Linked DNA regions of Caenorhabditis elegans. The protein of the gene in region 1 interacts with the protein of each later gene in a pairwise test. Each region holds a gene or a part of one and is shown on either strand. Other genes may lie near its edges.

Region 1 (4,649 bases):
GAACAAATTTTTTGCAAATTTTAACTGTTTCTATGAAGTGTTAAAGTTTCTGTTCTTCCTTTGAAACTAATAAGCTTGCGCTCCACCTTTTTTTAAATACAACGGTTACTTCTGGCCAAAAGAGTACTAAATCAAAGGTGTGATGATCATGATCATAGTGATGAAAAAGTTTGTCTGGTCACTTGAGAGCAGTTCCATCTTCTCTCCTCTCATTCTCTTTCTCTTCAGCAGGTCCATCCGGCAATTGCTTAACAAAAATTGAAAGAAGAAAGACGAAAAGTGTGTAAAGTCATGTATATAGTGAGCAAAAAGATAGAGAGACGCAGACACTGAGAGAATGTGATTCTGTTTCGTGTCCCGGGGACAGAAGACGCAATGAGGGACATTCTTAGTTTCTCTAAGTGTGGCTCTCGCAACAATAATATCACTCGATTTACTGATAAAATTTTTCTTATTTTGGTTTTTTTGTCGTATTTCAAAATAACAACTTTTCGTAAAACCTAGTACTGTTTCGGGCTTGTTAACTATTACAACTGTGAAACGGTAATTTTTATTATTTTAATTTTCAATAATTTTAGTTTTCAGTGAAATACATAACTGATTTTGCAACTCCTACAATCATTGAGTTCTAATTATTTAAACTTAATGAAAGTGTAAAAAATCGTAGAAATAATTTTTTGGGTCGAACCCCAAATTCTGATAGATGAAATGTGGCCTTTTCCCTGTTATAAAAAATTTTTAACCTAAAAGTTTTACTATTCTTGAAAAAACTGCTCAAGTGACCAGACAACATTTTTCAAAAGTTGTACGTCTTACATACTCATGGACAAAGGTGGAATAGATTTGAAAATGTTGTAAAAGCTTTACCATTTCAAAGAAACAGTATAAAATTTAAACACTTGTTCCAGAATGTTATTTTCATTTTTAAAATTAAAAAATTACAAGTGTCTTTTCTATTTTAAGAAAACAAAAATTAGCATTTTTCAATTCCAGCAATGGCAAAATTGTGATTGCCGTGCACATTTTACCCGGTCTTGGAAGCTATTTTTAAAAACTAGATACATTCTCATTCAAGTCTCAAAAGGTGTTCAAAACTTTAAAAACAATAACTTTAACACAAGCATTAACATTTCAACAAAAATTATGATTTTAAGGATTGCGTCAATTGAACGTGAATCCATTGTGGGAGCTTTAACACTTAAATGAAACAGTCAAAACAAAAATTGACAATATGGTCATTTAAGTACCATCCTTATAATTCCAAAAATGCATTCTACTGGCGCTCCTAAATGTCAAATTTAGTTGGAAATTGGGTTCAAAATCTTTATAGAATTTAAAAATCTAGTGAGAAAATATTTTGAAAATTAAAACAAATTTTCAAGATGTCTGAAGTTTTCTGGAAAATGGAAAATATTCTTGAATAGTGTACATCCCATGAATCTGCAATTATTGTCAGATTGGGTAAAGTTCGAGAACTATAAAAACTGTTACAGTACAAATTTCAAAAAAAAATCCCATTTCTGACAGAACATATTAGTCTTCCGTATTTCACATTTTTCATTTATTCTTTCCTTTATTTTGTTATACAATTCTTCAAACTCCCATATTCCAGGAATGATGCATCATCCTCATCCATTCGGGTCAAACCTGGCGGTAAGAGCTTTCAATTAATCTACTCCACAATCCCTAATTAATTTCCAGAACTCATCAGAACCACAACAGCCATCTGGTCAATATCTAAATCCTGCAGCAGATGCCTACAACTTTGACACCTTTGAAGATTCTGATAAATTCTCACCGAAGGGAAATGTGGCGGCGTTGAGAAATGTGATACATGGGCAGTTGGATATGAAGACACCAACTGGAAATAGTTCCAGATATCAGAAACCAGCGCCTCCGCCTGTTGGTGAGTTTTGTTTTTCTAGGCGTTCTATGTATTAAGCTACGAAATAATAGTTTTCGGAAAGTAACACATAGCTCATATGAATTCCTTGAAACTGTAAAAAATGTTAGTCAACAAGATAGTCAACAAATACACGATTGGCTGAGACCTGGTACCTCGACGGACCTGGAAGATGAAGCAGCAATTTTGCAATTAGATTTTTGTCATTTTTTCTATTAATAGTAAGATATTTTGGTTTCTGTCCGAATGCTGCAAACAGTAACAATAAAGTTTTGAAGTAGTCTTATAAACTATCTAAAACTGTTTTTTTTGTATAATTTTTTCTGATTTTGCGGAAAACAACTCCTGATGTCTCTCCTAACCAGCAATATTCAAAAAATCCAAATGTTTTGATGTTCAATAAAATAATAAATTCCAGACTCAACTCCTTCCTGGGCCAAAAATGTAAAAGTATACGAACCAAATGGATATGTGGATCCACATCTTAACAAGCATAATATGGGAAGAGTACTTGATGGTCCTGTCAATCCAAATAAATATTTTCAAGGAGTGAGTTTTATTTTGAAAAAAACAGCGATACAATAAAGCAACGAACTTTTCAAACTGAAAACAATGTGCTGAAATAGTTAAATTTAGTTATTACTGACCATTTTTTACTGATATTATTTTCTTTTTGGCTTTTTTTACAAGCTATGAGTGAAACACGTGAGTTTTTTTCTAGAAATTATTATCGACTAAAGCTTCACTAAAAATTGTAAAATATGAGCAAAATTATTTTGAGTTTTGAAGTTTTCTACTTTTCAGAAATACAATTCACAAGTAATAATAGCTTCTATATACGAAATTTCAAAAATTTAACAGTTTTTAAGTTAAAAAAGAACAAACCGATCAGATCAAACCGGAAAATTGTAAATGTCCTAAATGGCTTTCACGAAACAGTAGAACTTTCTTTTTAATTTTCCGAAAACACAACTTTTCAGTTCTATTTTGAAAATTGTACATTCCGGGAAGTTTATGAAAAATCCTTATGTAGATAAAAATTTACGCAAAATTGTTTTAAAAAACGTTAAAATTTTGTGTACAGTTTGAAGATTTGCAAAAATTTAAAACAATGAAAATACTTTTTCGTGTTGTCTATGAAAACTACATTACTATTTTTTTGTGATAGGAAAACTTATAGGAAAAATGTTTTGAGTACTTTTTAAAACTTGCAAATGCAAATGACCTGAAAAATCGCCAAGACATTTCATGTTGTTCTAAAAAATTTAGTGCTTATTCTCTTACTTAGACTTGTTGCGACACACTGAAGATTGAAACCAATAAACATTTTTCGCTTGTTCTATTGTCATGACATAAAATTCCTGAAACAGAAAAAATTGTGGTTTCTATTTTTTTTTTTTCAATTTTCTATGAAAATTGGGTCAAATAGTGTCTGAAAGTTGTCATTTGCTGAAAAAGTTTCACGGCAAACCCTAACTCAGGCACTATTTGAGATAATTTTCGAACTTTGCAGAAAAAATAAATATCATTATCAGATAGAACTCATAGAACAAACCTTGTCCTACATTTCTGTAATGATTTTTGATACAAAAAAAATATAATCACCAAACTAAAATACGTAGGTTTGTACATTTGCTGAAAAGATTTTCCGCGCAGAACTGATTCTAACCAGGAAAATCAATAAAATTATAAAGTTTTATTCAATTCGGTGTTGATACCTCCAATTTCTTGCAAACGGAATGCCAAAATCAGTTACTTGAAATTCGAAGCGGGGAAATTTGAAAGACCGACTCTATTAACATCTTCGCATTATGTTATGAAGTTGAAACAGCAGAATTATTTTTTGCAACTTCCAGGTTCCACCGGCCAGTTACAGTCAAGTAAAGCACAATGAGTCGAAACCACCAGTGCCTCCTTCCACAAAGCCTCCACACTCTGCTGCTCAAGCCCTTCAGGCTCAGGTCCTACAGAGCTCCAAAGCCCCCTCTCAACCCCAGCAATCTCAAAAAACGTCCTACCGAATCCCGTATGACGTGGCGCTCGATCCACGTCATCACCTCGGAGAATTCGACATTGATGACAGTGCATCAATTATTTCCTCGTGTATCTCGACATTTGGAGAATCTTCAGAAATTGCTGGATTTTCTGCGGCAGCCGAGCAACGGCATCTCTATGAGCAATATAGGAAAAAGTTAATGGAAGAGAAAAATGAATTGAAAGAGGGAAGTGAGACACCGTGTGTATCTTTGTCTGAAAAAGTGATGACGTCATCGACTGAAAATTTGAAAAATGGAAATAATCAGCAGAATCAACAACCTGAGCCTCAGCCTCCATCAAGCTCAATATTCAATTCAGAACTCACACCGTTTGGCCACGTGGCTCCTGTTGCTAAACAATTTGAACCAACAAATTTTCCACCATTTTCTCCAGAAAAAGAGAGTGAAATCAAGAGATCTATCGATTTGGAAAGTTCCCAACTTCTCGTAAAATCAAAATCCCCGGCTCCCTACTCTACAAGCTCGACGGATCATTATGGAACTATTCGAAGGAAGCATAAACCAGTGGCAATTGACCTTTCCAAGTCATCACCCAACTTGGCGAGTCAATCGCCGAGCAATTTATTTTTTGGAGCCAGCTTTGAGGAGAAGCAAAATCGATCGCCGATGACATCAACTCCGTCTTATAAAGAACAAGGATTCAAAAATGATAGGTGAGTTGATGTTTTCGTGGAACATATGTAATGAAA
Region 2 (5,212 bases), on another chromosome or scaffold:
GCCGTTTCTAGAGAACTAACAGAACGAATTTTTTAGATTTCAGAATTATCAACAAGATCATATGCAATGCCTTGAATTCATAGATAAGAGATGATGAAAGATGGAGCTGACTGCATTTGAAAGAACTTTCATTTTATCTATCTAACAATCTAACAATTATTAATAAACAATTATTCATTTTCATTGTTGTGTTTATCATTCGATTACTCGGAAAACATTTTTATTGCTCAAAATATATATTTTTCTAGCTAACTGGAGTAGTTTCAAAATTGCCATTCGGTTCAGGATAGGCGGTTTCAGGCTTACTTTTGTTTAATTAGTCCCAGGTCTTCGAAACTCAATGTTTTATTGTGTCCTGTGTTTCCCTTGATTTTCACTAAATTAATTCTGGGGACATGAGAAGGTAATCTTGGAAAATTGAAATAAACTACAGTACTCCTCAAAGACACGATTTTAAATTCAAAAAAATCAGTCGTGTCGAGACCCGGTACCGTATTTTGGGTGTTAAAATCGGAAAATTTCGCCAATGGGGATACGATAATTTGAGTTTTATATTCAAATTAGATGTATGATATAGGAAAACATTCCACTAACGGGTGTATTTGATTTATTTTGCTTGTATTTACAAATAATATATTTCGAATGCTCGCCTGTTTCTTGATATTGTCCTCGTGTTGTTCACGGCCGAAGTTTTTCACAATTATCAATAGAGCGCTTCTGAAAACTCGTCCGCGACAGTGAAAATTTTAATTTTCAGAATTAATTGTTTTTAATTTAACGATTTTAATTAATTCTCTCATTTACTGTTGCAAGATTTTTTAATGCTATCTGTTGAATATTTAATTTTATCACTATTTTCAATAATTACGATGTAGACGCTTTATTTGCAATATATATTGCAAACAATATTACAATATATATTGCAAACAATATTGCATTATACGCAGATTATTTTCTCCCGTTTTGACAGAATAAAATTAACTTGACAATGTGTGTGTAAACACAGTGACGACAAACTGCGACAATGAGTCATTCAGGTTTAGTCTTTTGCGAATTAGTTTATTTATAATAATTATATATTATAGGGTTATTGGGATATTTTTTTATCTCACCGTTAATGAAAAATGTTAAATATATTCCTGTTTCAAAAATTGGCTACAATTTAAATCAATATATTTGTTTTGTAATCATTATCATAGAGGGCCGGGACTCTTCCCACTGAAACTCAATACTTTTGCATATTTCACATTCTCTTCCTCCGTTGGTTCACCAAAAGAGAAAAGGGACCGACATGAAAAGGAAACGAAAGCTTAAAAGAGACGGAAAATCGATGTACTAGAGTGCTCGGAAGTAGTTGAGAGGCGCAGAGAGAGAGCTTTCATTCAGAAGACACACGACGTTATTCCTCGCAACGCCTTCTTCTTTTTAACAATCTTCAATACATTTTAGTGAACTTTCTTTTATTTCTGTTTCATTTAAAAATAGTCTTAAATTTCACTATATTTAATTTTTTTCTTTTATTATCTGGAATGTTTCAGCTTTCAACATGGATGATTCATACGCGATAGCTACACCGCACAATGATGTTTTTAATCACGCATTCGCAGAGGTAAATATTTAACAATTTGTAATACGTTAACAATTGTTATATTCCAGATGAACCCTCACGGAGCACCAAGAATAGGAGCTGCAGAAGCAGCTACTTTCCTTAAAAAATCAAACTTGGCGATGCCTGTGTTAGGCCAGATATGGGAGCTTAGCGACTCTCAAAAAGTTGGATCATTAGATAAGAGAGGAGCATTTGTTGCTTTTAAACTAGTCGCAGCTGCTCAACAAGGTAACTTTTATTACCTATTTGGAATCATATTTTGTTGAAAATACGATATGCTCAAAAGTAACCTTAACAGCAAAATATTTCAGGGAAGCCCGTCGCCAATTCTTCCCTCTACGATTCTTCCCTTCAGCCACCACGGTTTGCACCACCTGTACCACCAGCAAACATGCAGCATCATTTCCAACCATCGTTCCCATCGGTTTGACTGAAAAGTGGTTCCTCTATTTCTAAGTGTTATTATTCAGGTTGGCCGTGCTCCTCCAGTGCCACCACCACCACATCCATCACATCCTTATTCGATCTCTTCTCAACAATCTTCTCCAGCTCATCCATCGTCAGCTTTTCCACCACAATGGCCGATAACACCAACTGACCAGGTAGCAAAAACTGAGAATTAAAAACTTTTAAAAAATCTTTCTATTGGCACGAATAGAGAATTGACAGTTATTTTCCTTTACAGATTTGATCAAATATTCTTGTAATTATTTCAGGCTAAATATGACTCCATCTTCCAATCATTGAATCCTGTAAACGGAAAATTGTCTGGTGCACACGTACGCCCGGTTCTGATGAACTCTGGACTTGATGCTCATGCTCTGGCTCGAATTTGGGAACTTTCGGATCAGGACAAAGATGGAAACCTTGATCGAATCGAAATGTCTGTTGCACTTCATCTTGTATACCGATCACTTCAATCAGACCCGGTTCCTGCACAGCTCCCACCAAATCTCATTCATCCTTCGAAAGCAATGTATGCTCACAGCTCACCGAATTTCGCTGCTCCTCCACATCCTCCACGTCCGATGATGGGATCGAGAGCAGGATCTGTGACGTCATTGGATGATGTGAACATGAGTCAATCGTATTCTGCAACGATGCCACGTGCATATCCACCACAACCAGGTCGTGCTTACTCTGCACAGGCTCATGTGAATGGATCACGAACCAGTGGTGCATCAACTCCGATATCTGCTTCTCACTCGATTCACTCATTTCCTGCTGGTGAATGGCCTATCAATACAGGAGATTATGCTGATCAATTTGCTCAAACTGATACGAATAAGGATGGATTGGTTGATGGCATGGATATGAGAGCTCCCATGATGACTACTGGATTGAGTGCACAGATATTAGCACATGTCTGGGCATTAGCAGATATAAAAAAATGTGGACAGTTGAATTTGGAGCAATTTGCTTTGACGTAAGTCTTTCAAGTTTACCAAATATCTAGTGTAACTAAATATTAATTTTCAGAATGCATCTTCTTGACATGGCAAAACGAGGCGAGTCCATCCCATCAGAACTGCCTTTACATCTGATTCCACCTTCATTCCGCCCACCTACGGAACCTTCAGCTTTGCATCATCCTGCTCAATCAGTTTCAACTCCACAGCTCCCAGAAGCAACTTCGATGGAAATTAAAGAAGCTTTGGAAGGCGAAAACGAAGAGATGAAGCAGCTCGCAGAGTCTATTCAATCAATGCTGGTGGAGCGGAAAACTGCAGAAGAAGCTGTTTTACAACTAGAAGCTGATATGACTATTAAGAACTCGAGTATCAAAAATCTGCAGGTTGAATTGGCCACCTTGGAGTCGACAGTTAAACAGTTGGAGCGACAAAAAGGTGAAGCCACACGAAGATTAGCTGATTATGATACTCAAATAGAACAGTTAGAATCAGCATGTAAAGCACAGAAAGAAACGAAAGAAGATACCGAGAAACGAATGCAACAAATTGATGAAGATGCAAAGAATGCTGAGGACTGTAAAGCAAATGATGAAAAAGAAATGGAAGAATTGAAAAAAGAAATTGAAATGCTCGATAATCAATTCAAAACTGTTCGTGGAGAAATTGTCAAAGAAACATCACAAAGAGAGCAAAAGGTGGCCGAATTGACAACTCTAGAACGAAAAGAAGCAAGAGATCAGATACAAATGGAAAAGCTGGATGCTGCAATCGAGAACACGACAAAACTAACAGAACAAGTATCAGATGCAGTCGAAAAATCCGAGGAGGAAATGGTTCAAATTCTGAGGTCGCAACAACGATTATTGTCTACTGTAATCGATCAATCGTTGCTATCCGATGACACTGTTTATGGAGAAACAGCTGGAACATCATCTCAAAATCATGTTCAACAACCACCTGATCCGTTTGCATCCGCCAGAGCAAGTAGGTTTATATTTTTAAGAAACAAAAAGAGTTATGAAAACTTTTATTCTGACTTAAAGTTTTGAAATATGAATATATAACATAAATTCAATTTCCAGATCCTGCTGCTGATCCATTCGCCCAAGTAGATCAGTTCGGCTCATCTGGACATTTTGATGCCGCTTTCCCAACTGATCCATTTGCTCAAGGAGGCTTCCCATCGGATTCTGGCTTCGCACAATCGGCTCCCGCAAAACCTGCTCCACCTCGCCCAGCTCCTCCAAAATCTGCTCGCGAAACACCTGTCAATGATCCTTTTGCGTAAGTCTTAGTGAGTATCAATTTATTTAAAGTCTAAATAATTTCAGCCCATCACAAGGACAATCAACTCAACCGGCTGGATTCGCTGATTTTGCGGACTTTGGATCGGCTTTCAATTGATTTTTAATAATTATACCTTACCCACTATAAGCCCCAACGCCAGTCAAATTGTTTTACTTTGCCCAAATGTTTACCTGTGCCAAGTCATCGACATAATTTATTGATGCACATTTTTAAGATTAGTTTTTTTGCACTTTCCCACTTGAATTGTCACTTTTCTAGGTTATGAAATCAGAGCAATAATGTTATATACTGTAGAATATGAATATGCATGATTATTATGTAAATTATGAGTTATAATATATAGTAAATGATTTGCAGATTAATTTTATGTTGCGTATTTGATATTTTCAGTCTCATGTGTAAAAACGGAGCACAAGTAAACGGGTTGAAGGGGGGGAAGTAAACCGTAAAAGAAATTGATAAGGAAAAAGGAGAATCACAGAAGTTTGAAAATAATAGTGAAAAAGTTGTGTGAAGAAGACATAATTATGCTAGAAATCGAAAGAAAATACAGATTAGATGTACAAGAATGTTCGTGTCGGATTTACATACAGTGGCCAGTATCCTGAAAATAATAATCGCTATATTAGAATTTATTTATATATTACTGTTTACCTTCAATTGTGTCAAATAGAGTTGTCGTTTAGTTTCTATAGTCTTCTGAGGGAACGGATTCAGTTCGTTGAATGCCACTTGAGCTAGCGACTTGAAGTCAATGATATGTTCTTGAGCTTTGCTGAGACATTGATGAACTGTGCCTGAAAATTCTTGTTAAAAAACTAATAAATTTAAAGTTGTAAGTCACAAACCAATAGTTTTACATTGAAGAACGTGAGGTTCGCAT
Region 3 (4,994 bases), on another chromosome or scaffold:
GATGGAAGCCTAATTGTCAGTAACTTTTCTATATAATTCTCTAGGATTTTTCAATAAGGCAAGACGAGATCTCAGTGGGAGAAAAGAAAATAGAGTAACTATAAATATAAAAATTATAGATTTGGTCAAAGATGAGATCATTTCAATGATGGACACTTTTTAATTTTGAAAAGGTATCTTGTTAGAGAATTTTTTTTAAAAATCGATTTCGCCAATAAAAGTTAACAAAACAATATCTCCGTGATTTTTGAATTTGCAACTTTCCAAAAAAACTCTTTTCGAGGGCAAAAAATGAAGTGTTGAGCAGCGAGAGCCGACCACTACGGTATGTACTCGAATAAACAGAGAATCCCAAAATTGTGAGAAACGCAGGAAACGAGAGTGCTGGTGTAACGATGAAAAAGAATGGTTTTGAAAAAGAAGTACAACACAATGTTGGACATTTTTCTCACCCGCCCAGCAAACAGAAGCAACAGTGATTAGAGATGGGTGCCTTGCGCTCAGAGTTATGTCTATTGACCACAAAAGTTTTTGAAACAATAGGTATGTTAAAGCTGTTCCGCCGAGAAACATTTGGTTGCAACCATCAAATTTAAAAATTGAAATAGAATTGAAAAGATTGAACCTAGATTCTGGCACCTAATAATGAAAAAAAACACAGTGCTTTTGAGGATAATGGGGAGCCAGAGACTTAGTGAGAGGTCGGAGAGACGCACCCGGGAACTCCTAGGATTTTGACGAATGTGTTTGTCTTTCTTGTTTCGTATGTTAAAAACGAGGGATAGTGGAGAGAAAGACAAAACGAAGCAAAAAGCGCCAGGAGCAACACAGGGGAGGAGGAGGTTAAGGCACGCACGAGCATGAACACTTATCACCATGAGCACACTATTCGGGTCAAATGCGTGTTTCCCCGGTGCGCGGAACATAAGAACGACGCGGAACGCATGACGGTTAAGAACTACTGCAGAGAAATGATAAATACATCTATGTGTGGAGATGACTGGGATTTAACGAATTTCTGTAAATGTTTAGGAATACGTTTGCAGGTGGTGTCAGGCTCTCCCATTACAGTGTGGTCTACGAAAAATGCGGGAATTTTTTCCCAAAAAAATTGTGGTGTCAGCACGCTCAATCATACAAAAAAATCAGATGTCTGTGTCTTACCTCCCGCATTTTTTGAAGATCAAACTGAATTGAGACATTCTGACTCCAAGTGCGTTTGTTACACTAATATAATCTTTTCAGAAGTTGAAGTGAATTTTAACAAACTAAAGTAGAATTTTCGATATTTATTTCACTTTCATATAATACATAGTGGTGGCATAGAAAAGTTATTAGGCCTTAAAAACAGCTCCAGAGAGTACTATAATTTTATAAGATCTCCTGGGTCGTTGTAGAACTCCTATGCAGTAAAAAAATAGAATTCGGGGTAGATCCTTATGTTTTAAGCTATGAATTGGACTTCAAGACTTGCTAAAGTTGTAATTAATTAACCTATTTCTCGACTTGGACATTTTTTAGCTTTGAAGATACTCCTTTTGGAGATGACTATTTACTAGGTAAGTCTGATCGTTGTAATTCTAATGGTTTGATACATTGGTTCACTAGATCCTTAATTTACAATTTTTCAGATATTCAAAATTGTTACCAACTAAAACATACCGAATACTTAGCCAAATGGAAGTCTTTCCTCAGTTGCCAGTGCAGCGGATCTGTACCTTCCGACTTCTCGTTGTCGGGTGCACCAACCTGTAATCAAAACTGTTTGTATTTTAGGCAATTTGTTTCAATGTTGTTCAATTCGAAAATTGCTTTGTTTTTATTTCGGATTACTGATTCAACAGTCAAAGCATCACCCCCACGCATACACCGACAATTATTGTGGGAGGTGCGCGAGCGCGGGCGCCTGCTACTGCTGCTCCGAACAAACTTCGAAACAAACAATTTATGATTGCGGTAAGAGATAGAGTGAAGATAAGGAAGCAATGAAGGTTCAAAGTCAATAGGATTTTCTAAAAAAAAAATAAAGCATCAAATATGGAAAAGGAAATAACATATGATGGTCGAACATGATTATTTTGGAATATCAAACTAGATTAGTTCGTTTTTTTTTTGTCACCAAGAAATTAAAAACCTCAACCAATACTGAATTTTAGTCTTATTTTTAGGCAATAACAATTTTGAAAAAAAACTGAAAGTTAACTAAAAAGGAATATATGCAATGAACACTTTTCCTTTCATTTTGATCTTAAGACTGTATGATCAAGACAAAACCTAAGTTTGAGCCTAAACATAATTCTAAGTACAATCCTAAGCTTAAACCTAAGCATATACCTACGCCTAAACATAGGCCTAAGTCTAAGCTTATACATACGCCTAAGTCTGAGCCTAAGCCTATGCTTATACCTACACCTAAGAATAATGTTTATCTTATAGTTAGGCTTAAACGGATTACACTGCACCCTAAGTCTGAGCCTTAAACTACGACTAAGCCTTAGTCTCGTTATGCATCATTTTTAACAAGAAACAAAAAATTCCTACAACTTTAACCTGAAAACCTCTAAAAAAAACCTACTCATTAAAAAAAATTTCAAAAAAAAGGAAAATCCTCATAAAAATGAAGGAGGAGTAAAGAGGAAAAGAAAAGAGTTTCAAATTCTATCCGTCAAGCCCCCTCTCTCGCCGCGCAGAGCCTCCAGCAGCCACACATACAGTTTGTGTGTGCGTCGGCGGAAGTTTCAAGAGGCTTCTATTCGATCGAAGGAGAGATGTGTTAAGCGAGAGAAAACTCTTCGGCAGAGACACTATTCGATTTGGCGTAGAGCGCAGGACGCAAATTTTTTGGTGGATCTCATTAGTTGAGATTTTTTGGGTTGAGAGTATAGACAGGGGCTTACTTTTCCAGTCGGAAGCTGGTCCATTGATCTGTACTTCTTAGGCTCATTCACCTTTGAGGTGTGATCCAAATATCGATTTTTGCGCATTTTGATCAGCCATCCAGAATCTCCCGGAGATATTGGAGAAGCTTGAGGTTGCTGAAAACTCATTTATTGTTCAACGAATGCTCCGTTTTGAAAACCTGGAGTACCCGAAAACATCCCCGTCTACTCACCGGATTTAGCTGCTCGAATTGTGACGGCGTAGGCAAGACTGACAAATCGCTCATCGATTGGGAAGTTTTCTGAATTTCGGCTGACGGCTCTCTACACACTATTACGCTTCACACCACACCGTGTAGTTTCAGGGAAGTTGGTCAGTAGGTAGTAGGAGGATCCATGTGTTGTCGTTTCCAAGCCAGGGATATCTTTTTTAAAGGAGGGACAACACAGTATAACATGCACATAAGGACAAACAGGAAGACAAACAAACATGCAAGAAAGGGGATATAGACTTACTCTTTTCAGCGTCTCGATTCTCTGGAAACAAAATTATAAAAAATGTTCTAGTGTGAATAAGGTAACCCTAAACCAATGACATCTCTTAATTTTGTCAACTGGGTAATCGGGTCGATTTTTGAAAATGTATTTAACAATCTTAAAATAAATTTTTTTTTTCAAGGGTTCGACAAAGTTTGTTGGTCATCACTTGTAGGCTTTGTGTAATACATTTGTGATGTATTGCCAAATTTTCCTTATATTTTCTAATTTAACTATTTGAATACCTAGATTTATGCGGAACTCCGAATTACTTTTTAACTATACTTTTCATGCAGTGCTATGCATGCTCACCTGTTTCATGGTTTCAAGCTCCCTCAGGCTCTCATCATTCTTCTTTGGTCCAGGCCACCCTGGTTTGTTCCATGGCTGATTGGCTTCGTTTTCCTTTGCCTAGAACGTTTAATTTTATAATTTCATGACTTTATTAAATTAAAATCACCTTCAAATACTCTCTGAGCCGGGATGCTTCCATCTCACGATGGCGATCGACACTCTCGGCGAGATAGTTGCTGGTGGTGATTGGACGCGATTCACTGCTCTGAACATGATATAAAATTTTATTTCAGTCTTCAAAAGTACGGCTTACTCTGAACCGACGTTGCTCGAGCGGATCAAGTTTGATCTTCGACTTGCTATGCTCACTTGGGAAGTCTCCGGCTAGGTTCCGGCGGGGATCCGGAATTCTCGTGGAGATATATGGCATGTTAGCATTTGTGATAACCTGTAAGAGAAAAGTATATTGAGACCAACAAATAAGTTTAAAATAATGAGTCACTTATACAGAGCCTAATGATTTTGTAAAATAAACGTTTCTCGCGACGCAATCTGGCGCTGATCACTGTGATTTTTTTGTCGTAAGTTGCACTTTCTTCTAAAAGTTCCCTAAAGTTAATTGTATTTACACGATTTTTGAAAAACTACAAAATTTGAACTTTCTCTCTTTCCTCCCTCCCCCTTAACTAAATTGATGCGGATCTCAAATGCGGAAGGAGAAAGCCAGGTTGTTTGTTGATTGCCTCGTTACCCTCCACAAATGCTCAACTATTTTCCAGGTTAGTGACCCCATGATCGGCTTTCTTAGGTAGTGAGACTGTTTTTCTCTGGCTCCGTGCTTGCGCGCGCGCACGCAGAAGTTTACTTTCTAACGTTGTAGGAAAAAATGACCGTGTGTGCTCAAAGGAACACACATCGCGATCAGGTAGACTAGGCCTAAAGTATTTAAGGAGTCAACTGGGAACTTTGAGAAAGAAACCGTTTAATTTTCCCTTTTCCTCAAATTTTTCTTTGGTCGCCGTAACTTCTAGATTTTCCAGCAAACGATGAGGTTGCTCATTGTGCTCTCCGCACTACTTATCCCTTGTTTGGCGCAGCTTTCCGAAGACTCATCGGAACTAGAATTTGGTGGGCAACAAGCTCAACGTCCATCTCCCGATGGACCATTGTTCCCTAGATTCTTGATGCATGTGCCTAGATTTGCTAGAAAAGAGTTCTTCGACATTGTTAGTAACGATCAACTCTCTCAAGATCAGCAAAATGAGCAGCTCACAATCTGGGCCA
Region 4 (6,640 bases), on another chromosome or scaffold:
ACTTTTTGGTTTTTTGTTGGTATTTTAACGAAAAAATGATTTCAAAATGTGGTTTTCAGTGGTTTTTAACGTTTTTCAATGACTTTTTTCCTAAAAAAAAGTTCAGAATAAATCGAAACTTTTCTTTGTTTTTTTTCACAAATTTCAATTTCTTGTTTTTTCGTTGCTCACTTACACTAAAAAATACAAGCGTCGGCGCAGCAGTAATCTTGAAATTCAACGAAATTCCGGGCAAAGCTTCAGCGTCAATGAAGGCGGCACGAAGCGGCAGAGCAATTTCAGCGAGCAAATCATCCAGTAGCTGATTAACTTGCTCACAGCTTGGAGCCCACGATGCGTAGAAATGAAGAACAGCTGGAGATGGTTCCTTAATGAACGCAGCAACCTCCTCTCCTGACTTGATTTCTTGAATTGGCATTCTGGAATTTTTTGGCTGGCAATGGTAAAAAGCTAGAAATTTGAATAAAAAAATTAAAAAAATATACGAGAAAGGTAAAATAAACCTTGAAATTTCAATAATGAATAATGAAAAATATGTTTAAAAATTGAAAATATATAATAATTTTCAGAAAAAATATAAAAAAAAACAATGAAATACGGATCGTTTTGAGATCATAATATAGAAAAGAGATGGAATGCATAATACAGGAGAAGATTTCAATGAAAATAAAAATAAATAAATAGAAGAAGTGGATGGAATTATAGTACACATATTCGACAGCTCAATTCTGAAGGTCTCAACGGGATATTGAAGGAGGTGGAAGGCAACCGAATTTTTTGTCCCAAGCCGCGTAGGCATCCAATTGAGAATCGTCGACTGTTGGCCGAACGACACGAGCTGCTTCGGCGAAATCCATTACAGTAACGGCACGAATCTGAAATTTTCATCGATTAGTTGATTAAAACCGGAGCATTTGATGTTTCAGAGCTCGAGTGTTTATCTAATTTTTATGATGACCGAGTGCAAAAATAGAAAATAAATGTGACAATTCGTACGGCAAATGGTAAATAAAAAATAATAAGATTCGTCAGTCATGTGAGAGAGTTGCGAAATTGTTTGTTGTTGTGGCATGACATTTCATAAATTTTCGAAAAGTGTTCATTTTCGGAACATGGAGGTGTTTTATTATGTGGACGGAGGAAAATGAGATTTTTTAAATTGAGGTGCAATCGCGCTCTAACGCTAAACATTGGGTCTCGTTATGTATAAGAGGAACATTAAATTTATATAATGCGTATTGTGCAACATATTTGACGCGCAAAATATCTCATAGCGAAAACTACAGTAACTCTCTAAATGTCTAATGTAACTCTTGTGTCGATTTACGAGATTCATTGTTTCGAAAATCGTACCCGTAAATCGACACACGCGCTACAGTAGTCATTTAAAGAATCACTGTAGTTTTCGCTACGAGATATTTTGCTCGTCGAATATGTCGTGCAGTACGCATTCTCCGAATTCAGTGTTACCGTAATATTGGCGGCAAATTCAAGTTTTTAATTCGATTTTACTGAAATCATCCGTTTATATGCATTTTTTGATTTATTTTCAGTTGCTTTCTGGTTTTCATGCCGAAATGATTCTTGAAAATGCACGTGAAGCTTCGATATTAACGCATAATCAAAAGCAATGGGATTTTTTTTCTTCCTAACGAGACCCAGCATTATGAGGCGGGGCAATTTCAATTGGCCGTGGAGCGCGATTACACCGATCACAAGTGTTTGATATTAATTCAGAATCCTCACATCATCCTTATCAATCGTCTCAATATCGTCTCCAATGTCTCTGATAGGACCCATCGCTGCTTCAGTGCACAATTGCCTCATGTCAGCTCCAGAATAGCCGTCTGTAAGCTCTCTAATCCGCTCCAAATTATGATTTGTGATATCATGACGCGTGCCTACAAGTAGATTCTGCACAATTTGTGTGCGCGACTCTGGCTCCGGAAGCGCAATGTACAGTCGCTTCTGGAAGCGTCGACGAGCAGCTTCATCCAACTCTTGTGGCCGATTTGTGGCACCCAATACAAGAAGCCGTTCATCTGGAGCCGTATTCACACCATCCAACTGTACCAGGAACTCTGTCTTGATGCGCCGTGAAGATTCGTGTTCCGATTCCGACCGGGATGATAGTAACGAGTCGATCTCATCGATGAAGATAACACTCGGAAGTTTCAGACGAGCAACTGAGAACAGAGCACGAACAAGCTTTTCACCTTCTCCAACCCATTTTGAGGTTAACGACGATGCTGAAATATTGAAGAAAGTGGCTTTGCACTGGGAAGCGACACATCTCCCGATCATTGTTTTTCCGGTTCCTGGTGGTCCGAATAGAAGAACACCTTTCGGTGGAGCACGGATTCCGGTGAAGACGTCACTGAAAAAAATTATAATTGTCAATTAAATTTTTGGAGGATTTTTTAAATTGCTTTATTAGACTCAAAATTGTCTGAAAACACCGAATTTTATAATGAAACTTCTTGAAAAATTCTCAAAAAAAAGTTATGACGGCTCAAAAAATGGCTTAAAATTAGTTAAAATTTGAAATTTGACTTGTCAGCGGATGGAAACAATTTTTTTGAAATCACCGTAAAATTTTGAGTATACAGGTCAATTATCTTGCGTTTTCAACTCGATTTAGGTATTTTAAAGTCGATGGACGGCGAGATTAAAATTGTTTTTTTTTACCAAATCTCGCCGTCCATCGACTTTAAAATACCTAAGTGAAGTTGAAAACGCAAGATAATTACATTACATACTCAAAATTTGACGGTGATTTAAAAAAAATTGTTTCCAGCCGCTGCGACATTGACAAGTCGGTCAAATTTCAAATGTTAACTAATTTTAGGACATTTTTTAAGCCTTCATAACTTTTTTTTGAGAAGTTTCCAAGTAGTTTCATCATAAAATTCGGTGTTTTCAGATAATTTTGAGTCTAATAATGCAATAAAAAATTCGACTACACCACCTTTAAAGGAGGTTTTTTTGCGTGTATAGACTAAAAGCACAAAATAAGCGTTCAAAACCTCGTAAAAATAGCTAATTTTATCTAAAATCTCGAATTTCGTCTATTTTTCCTGTCCGCATCAGCTGAAACACTATTTTATTGAATTATCATCCTTTTTAGCATCTTTTGGTGGTTTATATCACATTTTTTCGTCAATTTAGGTTCATTTAAGTCGATAAAAAATTAAACAATTAAATTAAAAACACCTATCGGCTTTAAGTGTACCTACGTCAACAAAATAATGTGAAATAAACCACCAAAAAAAGTGGAAAAGTTGACAAAAAACGAGATTTTAACCAATTTCAGCCATTTTTGAGCACTTTATGAGTCTGAGCAAGCTAAAAACCCGAAAAACCCTTTTTTTCTCCTTTCAGAACGTACGGTCTTTTAAATGGCAGTACAACAATCTCCCGTAATGCTTTTTTCGCTCCTTCCAATCCAGCAACATCAGCCCATCCGATCTCATTGTTCACAGACATAATTTCCGATTCAATCAATGAAATGATATTTTCATCAAAGTGCTTTAGCGTTGGCTCAGCTCTCAATCCACTCATTTTTTCATCTTTTCCACCTCCTTCCGTATCCATTCCCATCGCCTTTCTGATGAGCGGATTGGAGCATCGTTTCGGGATATCCGGTGCTCTTCTGGCCGGTGGTATCCCTGCCAAGCTTCCAATCGATTGGGAACTGGATTGACGATCCAGAGGCACTTGGAACTTGCTATTCTGTGGATCCTGGCCGGCTGCAGTCGTAAATGATGGATAGAGGGTTCCGAGGGTATTTTGGATAGCTGCTCGGTTTTTCGTAGGTGCTCTGAAACGACGCTTTCATTTTTAAAAAAATCGATTAATATTACGGGAACACAAAATTCTGAGAATGCGTACTGCGCAACATATTCGACGCGCAAAATATTCTTTTTATGACTACTGTAGCGCTTGTGTCGATTTACGGGGGCTCGATTCTCGGAAAAAAAACAAAATTTTCGAATTTTGACAGCGATACTCAATTTTTCTTCGTTTTTTTTTCGAATACCATGGTCATTTTTGTGCTTATTTTTAATATTTTATCTATTAATAAATTACTTTAATTGCAAAAAACTCCAATTTTGGCGTTTTTTTGATGAGTAAGCTCATACAGGCGTATTTTTATATTATTTCCCGCCTATTACGGCAATAAACGGGAAATAGTGTTAAAAAAACGCTTGTGGAGTATTAGAGTATTATCATCAAAATGACGCGAATATTGGAGTTTTTTCAATTAAAATAATTTATTAATGGAAAAAAAATATTAAAAATAAGCACAAAAATGATAAAGGAATAGGAAAAAAACGAAGAAAAATTGAATATCGCTATCAAAATTCGAAAAATGTGTCTTTTTCCGAGAATCAAGCCCGTAAATCGACACAAGCGCTTCATTTAAAGAATTACTGTAGTTTTCTTTTTCGCTACGAGATATCTTGCGCGTCAAATATGTTGTGAAATACGCATTCTCAGAATTTCGTGATCTCTTAACGAACCTGGTCTTCTTAAAGTGCGGATTTGAAGCCACCTCGATGCCTTTCAGCGTATTTTCATGCATTTGCCGAATAAAATTCGGATCAGTTCTTCTAGCATTTGTAGGATCCACTATATCGCAGATTTTGTCTCTGATTTTCGTCACTTTATCGTCGCTTCCAAAATCGAAGCCTCGCATTGTGAACGGCTCTTCTCGGCGTTTTTCCTCCTTTGGTTTCGGAATTTCGCCAAGTTTGAAGCTGCTTTTCTCGCCAAGAAACGGTCGACTTTTGAGCTTCCGGGTGTCTTGTTTTTGTGAAAACGACACATCAACGGTTCTATCTTCGTCTTCATCAATTATTATCCCGTCTAGCTCGTCATCCAGACCATTTTGTTGAGAACGAGATTTGAATGGAGGCTGCTGCTGAGCTGAATCCGAAGGTGTCTCCACGACTATTTTTCGACGGGGTTTTCCGATAAAATACGGACTAATCCCATTGCGAGCAAGAGCCGTCGGTGGGTAAAGATCATCGTTATTTTCGCCGGTTTCGGGCCGTTTTCTCATTCCACTGGTCACATTGAGTTTTACCCGTTTTGGAGAATACATAATCTGAAAATAGTGTTTTTTGACCTGAAAACCCCCACAAAAAAATATTCAAAAAGACTGGGGTAACTTGAACAACTTAAAGGCAAAGGAATAATTGAGCTTAAAATTTATATCGTCTAATAAAATAAATCATAAACAATCGGAAGTGAGAGAAGAAAGGTATGGAATGTATCCAAATGGAATTATTCGAATACTGTTGTGCGATCATTTGTCTACTTTTGCTGCTTTCCATTTTCCCATGTGGTGATCTGAAAAATTCGTGTTAAAACTTGAATAATAAGGCGTATTTAATCACCTTGAGAGTTGCCTCTGGCTTCTTAACAGCGGCCTTTCCTCCGACTTGCTTGGTGCACTTGCGGGTGATCTCGGCAGCGATTTGCGAGTAACGCACGTAGTTGAGTCCAGCGGCTCTCCAGGCGACCATTTTCTGAAAAACATGAATAAAAAAGAAATATTGGAAAAAAGCGACTAATTTTGCACAAGAAAACAAAGAAAAACCGCAATTTTACTAATGAAATCTATCGATTTTAGCAATTAGAAAAGCTATTTTACAATTTGCGATTAAAAAACATTAATTTCATCTAAAAACAGCCAAAAATCAATGAAAAATCACAATTCTACTCTTGAAACAAAAAATGTGTCGTTTCTGCAGCAATTTATCGATTTTCGAAATTATAAAAGCTATTTTACAATTTGCGATTAAAATGTACATTAATCCCATCTAAAAACTAACAAAAAACCAAGAAAAACCACAATTTTACTGATGAGACAAAAAAAAACATTTTTTCTCAGAATTGCCTGTCGTTTCTGCAGCAATTTATCGATTTTAGCAATTATTTTACCAATTTTAATTAAAATAAACATTAATTCCATCTAAAAACAACCAAAAATCAATGAAAAAACGAACAATTTTCTTTAAAAACAGCTAAAAATGGCACAGTCCATGTCGGAAAAATATAAGTTAAAGGCGCATAGACTTTCGCACTCTGGTGGGTCTCGCAACGACATGAAGGAGGCAAACGCGCGAAATTCGAACGGACGACGCTGCCATCTGCCGCACATTCCTTCACTCTCTCGCTCATTTATTATCGGTTTTGTGCTACAAGAGCAGCTTTTTTCGCGATTTTTTCAGTTTTTCCAATTAAAAAATAAAATTTCCATCATTTCAGCCCGGCTCTATAATCCTATAATCTCACTCACCATGAAAACCACCACTTACAACACAGACTGGGCTGCCGAGAAGACGAAAATTCGCAGTTTCTTCGACGAATACTATGTGGACAATGAGGACGGATCTGGAAAGGTATTCCCGAATTTGGTGTATAAATGAGTATTTAAATTCAACTTTTAGGCATTCCCATATCGTGATCAAGTCTTTGAAATTGCTCGCCGCGACAAGCAGGCAATCGTTGTGAATGTTGACCATATTAAGGAATCTGATATTCCAGATGCTCTTGAACTCTCAGAAGCCATTACTTCCAATACAAAGAGATACGAAGTCCTGTTCAAGGACACAATTTCGGATATGATCCA

Evidence for each region.
Region 2: the proteins of sorb-1 (region 1) and ehs-1 interact in a two-hybrid assay, tested with the Caenorhabditis elegans proteins (3 studies listed by BioGRID).
Region 3: the proteins of sorb-1 (region 1) and pat-12 interact in binary tests that used the Caenorhabditis elegans proteins (3 or more experiments, as listed by UniProt).
Region 4: the proteins of sorb-1 (region 1) and figl-1 interact in binary tests that used the Caenorhabditis elegans proteins (3 or more experiments, as listed by UniProt).

What each region holds. Positions count from the first base shown.
Region 1 is NC_003282.8:13,748,722-13,753,370, forward strand, and holds the start of sorb-1 (SH3 domain-containing protein), read left to right. Parts: upstream 1-1,611; 5' UTR 1,612-1,614; coding exon 1,615-1,653; intron 1,654-1,701; coding exon 1,702-1,906; intron 1,907-1,931; exon of another isoform or gene 1,932-1,952; intron 1,953-2,137; exon of another isoform or gene 2,138-2,161; intron 2,162-2,321; coding exon 2,322-2,452; intron 2,453-2,463; exon of another isoform or gene 2,464-2,484; intron 2,485-2,538; exon of another isoform or gene 2,539-2,562; intron 2,563-2,775; exon of another isoform or gene 2,776-2,796; intron 2,797-3,034; exon of another isoform or gene 3,035-3,055; intron 3,056-3,068; exon of another isoform or gene 3,069-3,089; intron 3,090-3,205; exon of another isoform or gene 3,206-3,226; intron 3,227-3,668; exon of another isoform or gene 3,669-3,689; intron 3,690-3,759; coding exon 3,760-4,613; intron 4,614-4,629; exon of another isoform or gene 4,630-4,649. UniProt on the Caenorhabditis elegans protein: Required for organization of sarcomeres in body wall muscles and for maintaining normal mitochondrial position in myocytes.
Region 2 is NC_003280.10:5,819,174-5,824,385, forward strand, and holds ehs-1 (Eps15 (endocytosis protein) Homologous Sequence), read left to right. Parts: upstream 1-1,538; 5' UTR 1,539-1,546; coding exon 1,547-1,609; intron 1,610-1,656; coding exon 1,657-1,837; intron 1,838-1,920; coding exon 1,921-2,033; intron 2,034-2,079; coding exon 2,080-2,211; intron 2,212-2,325; coding exon 2,326-3,035; intron 3,036-3,088; coding exon 3,089-4,005; intron 4,006-4,103; coding exon 4,104-4,305; exon of another isoform or gene 4,306-4,352; coding exon 4,353-4,425; 3' UTR 4,426-4,689; downstream 4,690-5,212. Other genes in the region: tbc-2 (PH domain-containing protein), read right to left, coding at 4,913-4,933, 4,984-5,126, 5,178-5,212.
Region 3 is NC_003281.10:735,932-740,925, forward strand, and holds the start of pat-12 (Protein pat-12), read right to left. Parts: upstream 3,048-4,994; coding exon 2,898-3,047; intron 1,750-2,897; coding exon 1,663-1,749; intron 1-1,662. Other genes in the region: idpp-1 (SXP/RAL-2 family protein Ani s 5-like cation-binding domain-containing protein), read left to right, coding at 4,757-4,994.
Region 4 is NC_003283.11:4,340,890-4,347,529, forward strand, and holds figl-1 (Fidgetin-like protein 1), read right to left. Parts: upstream 5,111-6,640; 5' UTR 5,108-5,110; coding exon 4,524-5,107; intron 3,821-4,523; coding exon 3,389-3,820; intron 2,378-3,388; coding exon 1,747-2,377; intron 876-1,746; coding exon 738-875; 3' UTR 542-737; downstream 1-541. Other genes in the region: glrx-3 (Glutaredoxin 3), read right to left, coding at 176-418; hpo-18 (ATP synthase subunit epsilon, mitochondrial), read right to left, coding at 5,320-5,355, 5,403-5,531; mcm-7 (DNA replication licensing factor MCM7), read left to right, coding at 6,309-6,410, 6,459-6,640. UniProt on the Caenorhabditis elegans protein: Has a role in spindle assembly which acts in the progression through mitosis during embryogenesis. Required for fertility.